Linked DNA regions of Drosophila melanogaster. The protein of the gene in region 1 purifies or fractionates together with the protein of each later gene. This does not show direct contact. Each region holds a gene or a part of one and is shown on either strand. Other genes may lie near its edges.

Evidence for each region. The genes of interacting proteins can lie anywhere in the genome.
Region 2: the proteins of E(spl)mgamma-HLH (region 1) and insb purify together in Drosophila melanogaster (affinity purification with western blotting, with the first as the bait; one study listed by BioGRID). This does not show direct contact.

What each region holds. Positions count from the first base shown.
Region 1 is NT_033777.3:25,996,305-26,003,460, forward strand, and holds E(spl)mgamma-HLH (enhancer of split mgamma, helix-loop-helix), read left to right. Parts: upstream 1-3,546; 5' UTR 3,547-3,638; coding exon 3,639-4,256; 3' UTR 4,257-4,457; downstream 4,458-7,156. Other genes in the region: CG43116 (uncharacterized protein), read right to left, coding at 1-227, 449-588; E(spl)mdelta-HLH (enhancer of split mdelta, helix-loop-helix), read left to right, coding at 1,428-1,949. UniProt on the Drosophila melanogaster protein: Transcriptional repressor of genes that require a bHLH protein for their transcription. May serve as a transcriptional regulator of the Achaete-scute complex (AS-C) genes. Contributes to the neural-epidermal lineage decision during early neurogenesis.
Region 2 is NT_033778.4:17,474,714-17,479,842, forward strand, and holds insb (insensible), read right to left. Parts: upstream 1,560-5,129; 5' UTR 1,254-1,559; coding exon 723-1,253; 3' UTR 501-722; downstream 1-500. Other genes in the region: veil, read left to right, coding at 5,111-5,129.

The DNA.
Region 1 (7,156 bases):
TTCTCACGATGCACATGCACCGACCGACCCATCGCAGCACCGGCTGTTTGCCGCTTGCCTGGGTGGTGCTATGCTGCCGTCCCGTTGGTGGTGGTGGTTGTTGCGGTGGTTGCTGCTGCTGCTTCTGCTGCTGATGATGGTGCTCCGTGCCCGTAAGTGTAACGCAATGTCGCGCCAAAGAGGAAATGAGGTCTGTGTGACTGTGCGCCAAAAGGGAAGAGGCCACACTGCAAGAAAATTCGAACTCTAAACTAGCAACTTATAAAGATGGCTTATAAAGACTTCGGGATTGCATTGCTTTTAAAGCAAAGTAATGCAAATTATAGTTTAGTTACAGAATTTAATATATTATTTATGCACATTTTGCATATTTCTGAATATTATATTTCAGTTTACAAAACAACATTTTTTCCAGTGCACCTGCACGCATACAAGCAGAAACCCACACCCATATGCAACAATGGCATTGCCTCGACAAGATTGGCTCTTTGGCTTAAGTGAGGACGGCACGCATGGGGCTCGGCTCTCTTTTCTCGAGGGAAGTGGGAACCAGGGAGCACGGATGGCTGCCAGGCAGGTCGAGGTCATGTCGCTGCTGATGTCGTGTGTGCGTGTGGTGCGCTGCTGGTGGTGGTGGTTGATTGCTCCGACTCTTTCCTCCTGCTCTTCCTCGGAGACCCTTCTTCAGACTGTTGCGCCGGCGCACGGCAACAGCACGAGGAAGAGAGACGCCCGAAGAGAGCGCGCTACTAGCTCGGGCGAAGATCCGAAGAACGTGTTATTGGACCCTAGTCAATACACTGAAAATAACTTTAAGGCATTCTACTATTATGACCAAGGTTAAAGAAGCTTTGATTAAAAATAAATTAATTTCTAAATATATAAAAGTTTCTAAAGTACAATAAAACTATTTTTTCTTTGTTTATACTTATCGTTGTAAGATACTTTAGATGCATGAGAAACTTTGGTTTCCAGAATGGACATCCAAAGAGTATGCTTCGAAACTTGTATATTTTAAAAGTAGTTTATATAAAGTATAGATTTTAAAAATTGTTCTCTGCCACATATGGATTGTTTTCAGTGCAAGAAGAGAGCCTCAGCGGCTTCCGCCCGATCCAATTTTTTTGATGTTGCACACGTGCAACGCCGAGGGAATCTTGCCACAAGCAGAGAGTGACCCGATTGATGCTTCGTTGTGATCGTCGGCGTGTAGGAGCGTTGTGATCGCAGTGCGTGGTGGCAGTTAGGGGAGGATTTCGATTTCGCAAGTGTACGGCACCAGCAGCTACAAAAAGGATCAGCTTACCTTGCGGCAAGATCATTTCTCAAGTGACTACCGTGCAGTGCGGAGCGGCAGCAGCGACATCGCAACATCGCAACTTTATTTACAAACAATCACCACACCAAATCAAAACCCATTATACACAATGGCCGTTCAGGGTCAGAGATTTATGACCAAGACTCAGCATTACCGCAAGGTGACCAAACCCCTCCTGGAGCGCAAAAGACGCGCCCGGATGAACCTGTATCTGGACGAACTCAAGGATCTCATCGTGGACACCATGGATGCGCAGGGCGAACAGGTCAGCAAGCTGGAGAAAGCTGACATCTTAGAGCTCACCGTCAACTATCTGAAAGCGCAACAGCAGCAGCGAGTGGCCAATCCTCAATCCCCACCACCCGACCAAGTTAACCTGGACAAATTTCGGGCCGGATACACCCAGGCTGCCTACGAGGTCTCGCACATATTCTCTACGGTTCCCGGCTTGGATCTCAAATTCGGCACCCACCTGATGAAGCAATTGGGTCACCAGCTCAAGGACATGAAACAGGAAGAAGAAATCATCGATATGGCCGAAGAACCAGTTAATCTAGCCGACCAAAAACGTTCAAAGTCTCCGCGAGAAGAGGATATTCATCATGGCGAAGAAGTCTGGCGCCCCTGGTGAAGGGCATTCCATATATACGCAACCAATTAACATTGATAGCTTTACTACTCAGTTTCATTAAGAAACAATCCAAGTTTTCCAAGGTCTAGTGTAAACATTTGCCTCAGAATCGTATTTAGTTGGTAGTTGATTTGATATGATGTGATGTTCCTGTGATAGTTCTTAAGTTCGTATTTTGTATTTGATCTCCCATAGGCTTACTGATTCATGTATTTAATTCATTGTAATTTATTTCATCAACTTTGCAAGAGCTTCCCCACCGAGCTTCCACTTAGCCTCATTAAGAACAAATTTTTGTGTATGTTTTAAAATTATATTTTTCGCTTTACACCATTAAGTATAAGCCATGAACATTTGAATAATAAAATGAACGTAAACTGAAATTTTAAAAGCTTTATATTATTTGGAATATGAACATAAACAAGGTTGCTATAATCCATAGGTACATAGGTACAAAATGTTATAATATATATAATTATTATATTATAATTATAATTTATAAGCTCTTATTTAGCTTTCTTCGATATAAAAGATATATCAGATATATTTAAATATATTTCTAAAATCTAATTTGAAATATATAGAAAATATATATTTTCCTTGGAATTTTAATAATTTATAATTCTAAATACCAAATACCGTTATACTGTCCACTTGAATTCAAGTCAATTGAACTCTCCCCACTCCGTTTACAAATCCCTGTAATGCACCACCCATCCAACCATCCATCCATTACAAAGGTCCTGGAACGCGAGCAACTTACAGCCGAAAGTGTGTCCACAGCGAGCCACACGCGAGCAGCGCTCCAGGATCAGCATCGCTGGCCCCTTTTACATGGCGGATGGAGGGAGAGGCAGAGGTCCTGCCGGGTCGGGGGGATCGGGAAGTCGTACACGCATTAAGCGCACTCGACGCACACGAGCAATGTTCCCACAGGATCATAACAGCCGACCAACAAGTGCAGGATGCCTCTGTCCTTGTCCCTTCCTCTGCCACCAAACACGAACCCGATCCAATTTGGAATGCCAACGGTAAACAGGAAGTTGTCGAGGAATCGCAACGCCTCGTCCTTATCCTTATCCCCATCCCCCGGCGGAGGTCCCCGCTATCGTGGGAACCCCGGAGGACCCCGATGAGATGGCATAATGCAAGCAGTTCATTATCCTTATGCCCCTCACCCTGCCATGCCATAGTCAAATCATAACACACAAATCTAGAAACGGCAGCTGTTCGCTCTGCAAATTCCCATGCCCATGGCCGTGGCCATGCTCGGCTGCTTTTTGCGGGCAGGTGAGCGAGTCGATGTGAGAAACCGAGTAGGAAAGTGTTTCCCACGATCCTGGCAGCGATCCTGCTCCCTGGCCCGTTTGATAAGGGTGCCGGGGCCAACAATAAGAAATCGCCCGAACAATAAGGAGCGGTCTCAAGAAGCGGAAGGGTCGGTACCGAGCAACCCTCATGCCAGCACACGAAGCGTGTCCCCGTCCCTTTTGCTCCTCGAATGCCAGCACACACGACGACGACGACGATCCCTTTGGCCCATTTTTTGGGGGTTGTTTCTGGCCAGCTATATAAGGCCGATCACCGAAGGTCTAGCAACACACAACGACTTCGACTGTCGGAGCAGCAAGAGCTCAAAGAACTCAGCTTACATCGAAACTACAAAAAGAACAATAAGAAACACACAAAATGTCGTCGCTACAAATGTCCGAGATGTCCAAGACCTATCAGTACCGCAAGGTGATGAAGCCCATGCTGGAGAGGAAGCGTCGTGCCAGAATCAACAAGTGCCTGGACGAGCTAAAGGATCTTATGGTTGCCACCTTGGAGTCCGAGGGCGAGCACGTCACCCGTTTGGAGAAAGCCGATATCCTGGAACTTACCGTCACCCATTTGCAAAAGATGAAGCAGCAGCGTCAGCACAAGCGGGCTTCCGGCGATGAGAGCTTGACTCCGGCGGAGGGCTTCCGTTCCGGCTACATCCATGCCGTCAATGAGGTCTCCCGTTCACTCTCCCAGCTGCCCGGCATGAATGTCAGCCTAGGCACTCAGCTAATGACCCACCTGGGACAGCGCCTCAATCAGATCCAGCCAGCAGAAAAGGAAGTCTTGCCGGTGACCGCTCCACTCTCCGTGCACATCGCCAATCGGGATGCCTACTCCGTGCCCATTTCGCCAATCTCCAGCTACGCCGGCAGTCCCAACTCCAATACCAGTTCGACCAGCCATTCCCTGTTGACCACCATCGATGTGACCAAGATGGAGGACGACAGCGAGGACGAGGAGAACGTCTGGCGTCCCTGGTAGATAGGATTACTTCACACCACAACTGAAAAAAAAAAAAACGAAGGAGAGATCATAGAAAGTAAAAGTCTTCCGAGTCACTGGATTTCCACCAGTCGACTCCCACCTAGTTATAAGTAAACACCATAAACACACAAAGCTTTAGATGAGGACGCGCAGTTCATGTGATAACTAAATAAATAATAAATTATATAGCTAAAATTGAAAGATCACGACTTTTTCTGCCACTATCTAGTGACTCACATGCAAATTGCTCAGACACTCCCATGTCCAGACAGTTTCCAATTGTCTGCGGTCTAGAACGGAAACGCTAGAAACGCAATAGCACCTCTCTCTGTCCCCTGTAACTATTCGATCGCCCCACGGATGCACATACACGATCGTCGGACAAAAGAAAGCGAAAACAATGCCAAGGCCGAAACAAGAAGAATTAGGCAGAAGAACGAGAGAAGAAAGAAGTCCAAAGTCCAAAGCCGGGGCTACCGATACCGGGACATAGCCTATAGGCCAGTTGGTGGTTGCAACTCCAACACGTGTGCGGACAATAAGCGAAGGTAACAGAAAATATTAGAGTCTTATCTTTGAGCGTATCTAATCGAGTTACGACAATGTCGCTCAGACTTAGAAGAAAACAAATGGGCATAGAGCCGGCAAGGAACCCGAAAAAAAAACCGAAAACCAAAAAAGGGATCGAGTCATCATTCATCCCGCATCCGTCCTGATTTCGCTTTGTTCTCCTCAATTTTTTGTTGCCGTGATTCTCCCTGGCCACTCGGATAGAAAATCGTGTGCACAATGGTCAAGGTAAGCTATGGGCACATAATTGCTTCGGATCAGGTAAATGACTGCCTTGCCCTAGGGCAACTTTAAGATGGAGGAGCTCCAGCCGGGGACAGGATATCGGTTTTTTTGTTGTTTCTTTTTTATGGGCTCTGCCCGAGCCTTTTTTGATTTTCGTTTTTTTTTTCTGATCTGGCTGACCCAGCATCATTTGGTTATCTGTGTGCCAAGACCAGTAGCCGATTCACAGACGCCTCTGTCTTAAAAATCGACGCAGGGCAGATCGAGGGAATAGTCAACGAGATCGGTATCAGGATTGGCTTGGGACTAGTCTGTGCTGGCGGGGTGTAATAAATTTAAAAAGGAACTAAATTTATAGAGATTTTTCAGCTGATTAAAATTCTGTTAACTTGCTAAAGCCGAAAGTAGATTATCTTTAAGAAGATCTTCTTCACAACAGCCCTAAGTGTTTATACTTAATTTTACATTTCCGTCCTTTTTGTTTTCTTGTGTGCCAGCAATTATTTATGGAAATTAATAAGATTTATAGCTTATGGTTACTAGCTTATAAATAACTAAAAAAAAACGTTTATAATTTTTTAAATTGTTTAAATCCTTCTGAGATATCCTTTGTAGATAATACGCTAAAAATATTTGTATTTCACTTGCAAATTCTGTGTAATCTTAAACCCTATAATGTACTGAACAAGATCATTTCCTTCAATGTTTGGATGTCACTTCCACCCTGGGATAACATAAAGTGTAATAATGGACACTCCTTAAGAGCCATGTTAAATTATAGCTCACTTTCGATCCTAGGCCATTCCTGGATGATCCGATCAAGGCGACACAACTATGGACTCGACAATAAGAGGACCAACACCAATCCAAACCAAACCAAGCAAGCCCAGTTGTCATACCATACAATGGGCAATAAGAAAAAGTCGGTTATAGGGACATGCGGAGGAATCGCACCCAAAATGCCAAAAGGAAATGCTGGCACAAAAGATACTTAATCTTATAGGTAAACCCGATGAATGATGAACGAATGGCGGCGACGTAACCGAACCCCCGATACAGCAATCCGGCAATCCGGCGATCGAGCTCGAACGCAAGCCCAAGTCATTAAAAACTACAATACACAAACTGCATACGAATCACTCGAAGACCGAGGCCCAAAGAAAGGGTCTTATTTTTTAGGTAGGGGAAGGGACTGAAGACTGAAGACCGGGGACCGTGGCCAGAAAAAAAAAACTAAATATCAGAAGCGAAGATCGTGAGAAAATGGTTTGGAACGTGGTTCTCACACGATCGACACACCTGCCCTTTTTTGTATGTGTGTGTGTGTGTCTGGCTGGGCCACCACTCAATGCGTGTGTGTGTGTGTACTTTTACGAATTCAAGATACAAGACCACTTACGGGCAAGATCACGACCGACTCGAGCTGCGGCTATATGGCTATGGATCGACATGAAAGAGAAAAGCAGCGTGCGGTAAGTGTGTCTCAGTCGCAGACTCAGCTCAGCTTCAGCTTCAGCTTCGACTTTTGTGCATTGGCCAACATTGTAATGACTGTGGACACACGATCGTTAAGAGCGCGCCGTGTGATCTGTGAAGGAAAAGGGGTACGAGGTGTTTCAGGGGCTACAACTATGGGTTCGGGGTTCGGCGCATGCGTCGCTGTTTTGTTGAACGAACTCAATTTAGTTGGTTTATGACCAAAAAGCGAGAGCGAGCGGGATGCACGAGGAGATCGGTTATGGTGATCGGAGTGGGAGATGCTCGTTGGGGAGTATGGGAGTTGGGGAGTTGAGGAGTTGGTCGTCGGAGCATTGGAGCGCTGGAGAGGCACCCAACCACACTTATATGGTGTGCTATTGACTCTGTAATATCTTTAATATGGGATGTTGTTACACTACATTGGCACACGCTCTTGCTGCCACTGGACAAGCTGCCCACAGGTTGTGTTTGTATGGGATCGTATGGGGAATGGGTTTGGATATGGGTATGGGAATGGGAATGGGAATGGGAGTGGATGAAGATCGAGGCACGAGTGCCGACTCCATCCCAGTCCCATCCTCCAGCCTCCATGCACAGCCCATTGCCAGGCCGGTTTGCCGCCG
Region 2 (5,129 bases), on another chromosome or scaffold:
TTACTTACATACAACCATGTGAAACGTTAAATTGTTAAAAACAATTAAAATCTAGTTTTAATGAAATATCAGTAATACAGATAATACAAAGGAATTACAACCATTTATTACAAATAATTATCGTTGTTACAAATTATACAGATAACTAATATGAAATTATAACAAATGCTACTTTAGGGCGATTCCCCAAGCCCCCAGATAATTTATGATACCAAGTTAATGAAATAACCGAACAACAAAAACACCCCGCCCTAACAACAATAAGAATATATACACTTATATGATATACATACCTACAAAATGAATTCAAAGAAATAATATATGGCGATTGAGTTATTCTCATTAATTATTATATGTAAAATTAAATAACACAAGTAATAACTAAATGAATAAATAAATATATTTAAAATGTATCGAAAATCGATGTAGTAGAGTGTTTTTTTATTCCCAGCTAGGATGGAACCCCCCAATCTTAATTAAAACCTCTTCCTTTATGTTTTACTTTCAATATACATAATTTATTTCGTTGTTGCTTATGTGTTTTATATTGCTTTACAATAATTGACTAGAGTAAATAGCTTAGGAATACCCAGATCCCTGTGTTGCATAATTTCCACCCCCGGAAAGTTCGCAACCCTTGGTTTCTCTCTCTCGTTTTACTTGCAATGAGATCGCAGCAAAGTGACTAGAATGAGGAGGAGTTCCTGCCCTCCGGTTTGCTCTCAGGCGTGCAGAAGTCCATCGCTTTGCCCAACCAATTTCCCAAGGAGAGTCTGGTAGAGTGGCGACTCCGTGGGTATTCCCTCGCTCTGCAGAAACAGCAATGTTTCTCTGGCACACATGGCAAAACCCAGTGCCTCCGCCTGACTCCTTTGGGCTGGCGTCGGTGGCGCAAACTGGGCCGCCACCTCGGCATCCTCGTCACTTTCCTCAACATCCTCCGCTTCAGCTCCGGCAGCCGCATAGCCATCTCGATCGTTTAGATCCTGCTCAAAGGCATCCAGCTCCGCTTGCAGCTCCATTATTTTTTGCAGCGCTTCCAGAAGGATTCGATTGGGGGCATCTGGCGGGTTGGGGCAATTCTGCCCTGGCTCTTCTGCTGGTGGAGTTAGAGGACGATGGCGTTTCTCCGGAACCGCTTCAGTCGGTTGCTGCTCCTGTTGCTGTTCCTGCGGCTGGACACGTTGCTCCTGCGCCTGCTGCTGCTCCTCCTGGCTGGCTCGCTTGCGCTTCATGATCAGTTTGCCCGACATGCTTAGAGGATGATCTACTAGACTTAAGCTGCAATCGTTTGGTTTTCCAACTCGCTCCTGCGCGACACAACCTTCGTTCACCTGGCGATCGCCACGACTGAGCTGCGACCAACTGCACCCCGGCGACCAACTGGCAACTGCCGACTCCAACCCCAAAATGCGGCAGGGACCAGAGATAGTGGCATTAGGGGATGTGCCGCGCCAAGGAAATTAAAAACAACAATCCATCGGCAACCAAAAAAAAAAAAATTGTTGCAGCTGTTTGAGTTGCGGCAGCTGAAGCGGGAGGGCAACAGGATACTGGCTACAGGCCACAGCCTGAACGGCAGCAGCAGGATATTGCAACCCTCAGCTGGCGCTGCCTCTCTCTCTACCTCTCTCTCTCTCTCTCTCTATCTCTCTCTCTCTCTCTCTTTCTCTGCCGCTGCAGCAGCCGCGCTCCGAATATCCTCCCTTCCTCCGTGCATCCGTCCTGCACCCCATCCCCCCGGGATCACAGGCGCGCCCTGCTCGTCCTTTCCGACCTTTCAGTTGTTGTTGTCCCGTGTCCGTTTCCTTTCGGTGCGGCATAGCCGATTCCCAAGTTACCTTCCTATGTCCTTTTTTTTAATAGGGTTGCATTGAAGGGTGTGTGCGAAAATAAAGCATTTTAATCAAATTTTCTTTTTTTTACATTTTAAAGCAGACATAAATAAATTATCAATACCTTACAATCTTGGGTAATCAAGTTTTGAGCGTATAAATTTTCATGAATTTTTTTTGAATGTATAAGTTGTCAATTTAATGACGAATTAACTTAATTGCTACAAATAAACGAATCTGGACTTTTAATTCAGTTGATTTCAAATGAGTTTCGATCTGGTTTTAGCGAACAACGACCGATATATGTAATTGCTTAAATTGCTTTTCTTGGCAAAACGTGCACTGCTGACGCACTTAAAGAATAAGTTATTCAGGTTAGACAGTTAAGCTATTTAGGTAATATTTAACGTATCCGTTAAGCATTGTATTCTACCAATAAGCTACCTAAAATTTTGTTTGTGAACTTTGATCACTTGAACTTTGATCACGATGCTTCTTTACGAATATAGATTTTCGTATTTGCATACAAAATTCGTTTAATGTGCATATTTGTAGGAGATTCCCCAGTGCGGTATGCCCGACCATGATAAGCATTTGCAGCTGGCACGCTTCACATTCATCTCTTCGATCGGCACTTCCCCTGCGAGTTAGTTTGACCTGCCACTGCAATGATAAGTGCACACCTAAAAGCACTGCGAGAAATTTTCGAATTTCGTTGTCATGGAAATTGGTATGCGGTATGAGTTAGTTTGAACGAAATCACGTTTACCTCCGTTGGCATGGAGAACCAATTCTTATCGGCTTTATTGCCGATTGTTAACGTAGTAAAGGTGGAGTGGTCCCAAAATGCTAATCGATAATGCTGTCAAAATTTGGAATGAACATAATTCGCTTTATGGTTTATGTCCGCGCATTGTGTAATCATGACCATAATTTAAAATAAAGGGATTTATATTTTGGGTTTGTTGGAAGGGGGAAGGGGGGAGTGCTGAAATATAAGATGACACCATAAATGAAGAATCTCCTGTCCCAAGAAAAAAAAAAAGAAACAATCTCATTGATAGCAATAAATGTTTATTTATGGTCAAGGAAATTGGGCATTATTCGATTTATTTGGGGCTGCGAATTTGACACTATCTCAGCGAATTGTTGTTTCGCAATTTCGGAAGGGGCATTTAAATAATCACGCCCAGACGTCAAGTCTGTGAACTTATGATATGGATGGATTGGATATTTGCATTTAGTATGTCGGCAATGGTGTGTGTACACATTATTTACTTGATAAGCACTTGATGTTGTTAAGGGCGTATCAAAATTGAATCATATATATTATTTTTATCTCATTTTTATCGTACACTTGACATTGTGTAATATTGCGTGCTGGTTTTCCTCTCCCCATTTCAGTTAAACTTGGCCGAAGCATCTTCTATTTATTTTCGAACCAACTCAATTGCTGTTGTATCTTGTATCTTTCGGATATATTTAGGCGACATCTCGAGCAGGAAAGTTGTACCTTTCCCTTTCGTTTTTGAGTTATTTGCCCGAACACAGGCAGCAAATAGTAAATAGCAAATACATTATCCACAGCCGCAGCTGTCGTGTGTCTATTGAGCCATTATACATACTATATGATTGAACAGTTTGAGAAGCACGCGACAAGTGGCAGCGGATAATTTGGGGATGAACTGTGGCCCAAAACCCGGCAATTGTGATCATTTCGTGTGGGTAGAACTTCGCAGTAAACTCATAAAGTAATTTACGCGGCTGTTGAGTGAAATTCATCTTTCCAATATTTATCTATCCTTCCATTTTGGCGGCCATAAATCTGTGCAACAAGCAGGCCTCATTGTTCATCAATCGAATGTGCCTGAAAGTTCGCAGAAGACACTTGCTTGGAATTTTCGGGAAATTAATAACAAAGATCGGCTTACTCGGCACAATCGGCGGACTGTTGTTAATGGTGCGTCAATAAACATGTACAGTAAATACTCTAAATATAGGTAAGCAACCATGTTGCATATAATTTCGTGACAGTGAAAATGTTTTACTATGAAACAAAAGTGCAAATATTAATTACAGATATAGATATTCCAAAAATATCCTTTCGAATGCGTGATCTTTGATTCATGTGTTTAGATCACTTACAAGTAAATGCTGTTTGATGCTAGAGTTACGCCGAATGTAAATTCTCCGTAGCGAGCGTGCACTGTATATATTTTTTAGTACAATCCATATTTCGGCGTGGGAATGTCACGTTGTGTTTAGACAACTGTTGGGCCAACTACCTGCCTCTGTCTGAGTGGCTATGAGTCAGATAAATATATAGCCAATTCACCATTATCTGATCTATAACCGACGATTATCGCGCGATATGTCTGCTTCCGATGGCTTCCAAAACATCGAAATACAATGGGGTAATGCAGAAAGAGCATCGCATTGTCATTCTCAGCCAATTTAACCCGCAATCGCAATACGAGGCCTTATCGTAATCAGTCCGCTTCGCGAGGCAGTAAATTTCGGTTTTGCTGTTTAAGGTACTCGGCTTTATGTTTTCGGCTAATAACGGTTCTCGCACTCTCAGCCAATTTGGTGGGTCAGTCAGTTAGCCCGCGGACCGTGCGACGAGTGCATGTGAGTAGCGATCGTTGGTATTTGGTAATTCGTTGCTTCTGAAGTAACATCGATCGGGCCTTTTTGAGCCGAGTTAGCTTTTAGGCCAATGCCATGAGCAAGCTGAAGTTCGAGCTCGTTTCCGAGTTCAATCGAAAACCAGTTGACCGAGTGAAGTGGACCGCGATGGCAGAAATTTGTCGAGCAGAATGTGCTGGGGATTTGTGTGTTTTTTTTTTGCACACGCAAAGTGATAAGCGGCGATTAGATTTAAAACACCCAATAAACTATAAATTGCGATTTCTGCGCGCTCGTGATTGATAAATATTTGCCTCTCAGCAGTGGATTGGTGATAAGGTCGAAAAGGACCTTCAACAGTCTAAGTAGAAAATCTGGTTAACAACGTTTGAAGTGTTTCCATTACATGTGTAAAACCATTCGGATAAGAAAACGAACTAATACTTAAAACACGCTTCATTAAGTGGCAGTGCATTAATTTTTTATTAAAATTTTTAGATTTTCATGAGTGCAAAAACAATGATTATGACAAACCAGTTGCCGTGCGCGAATCAGTGCTTATTCACCGAAGATTATCCACCCACATTTCATCCCTTCGTGTGTGATAACTTATCAGCGATTGTTGTGTTTATTGTTCCAGCACCAAAATGTTACCTGCCCGTGGTC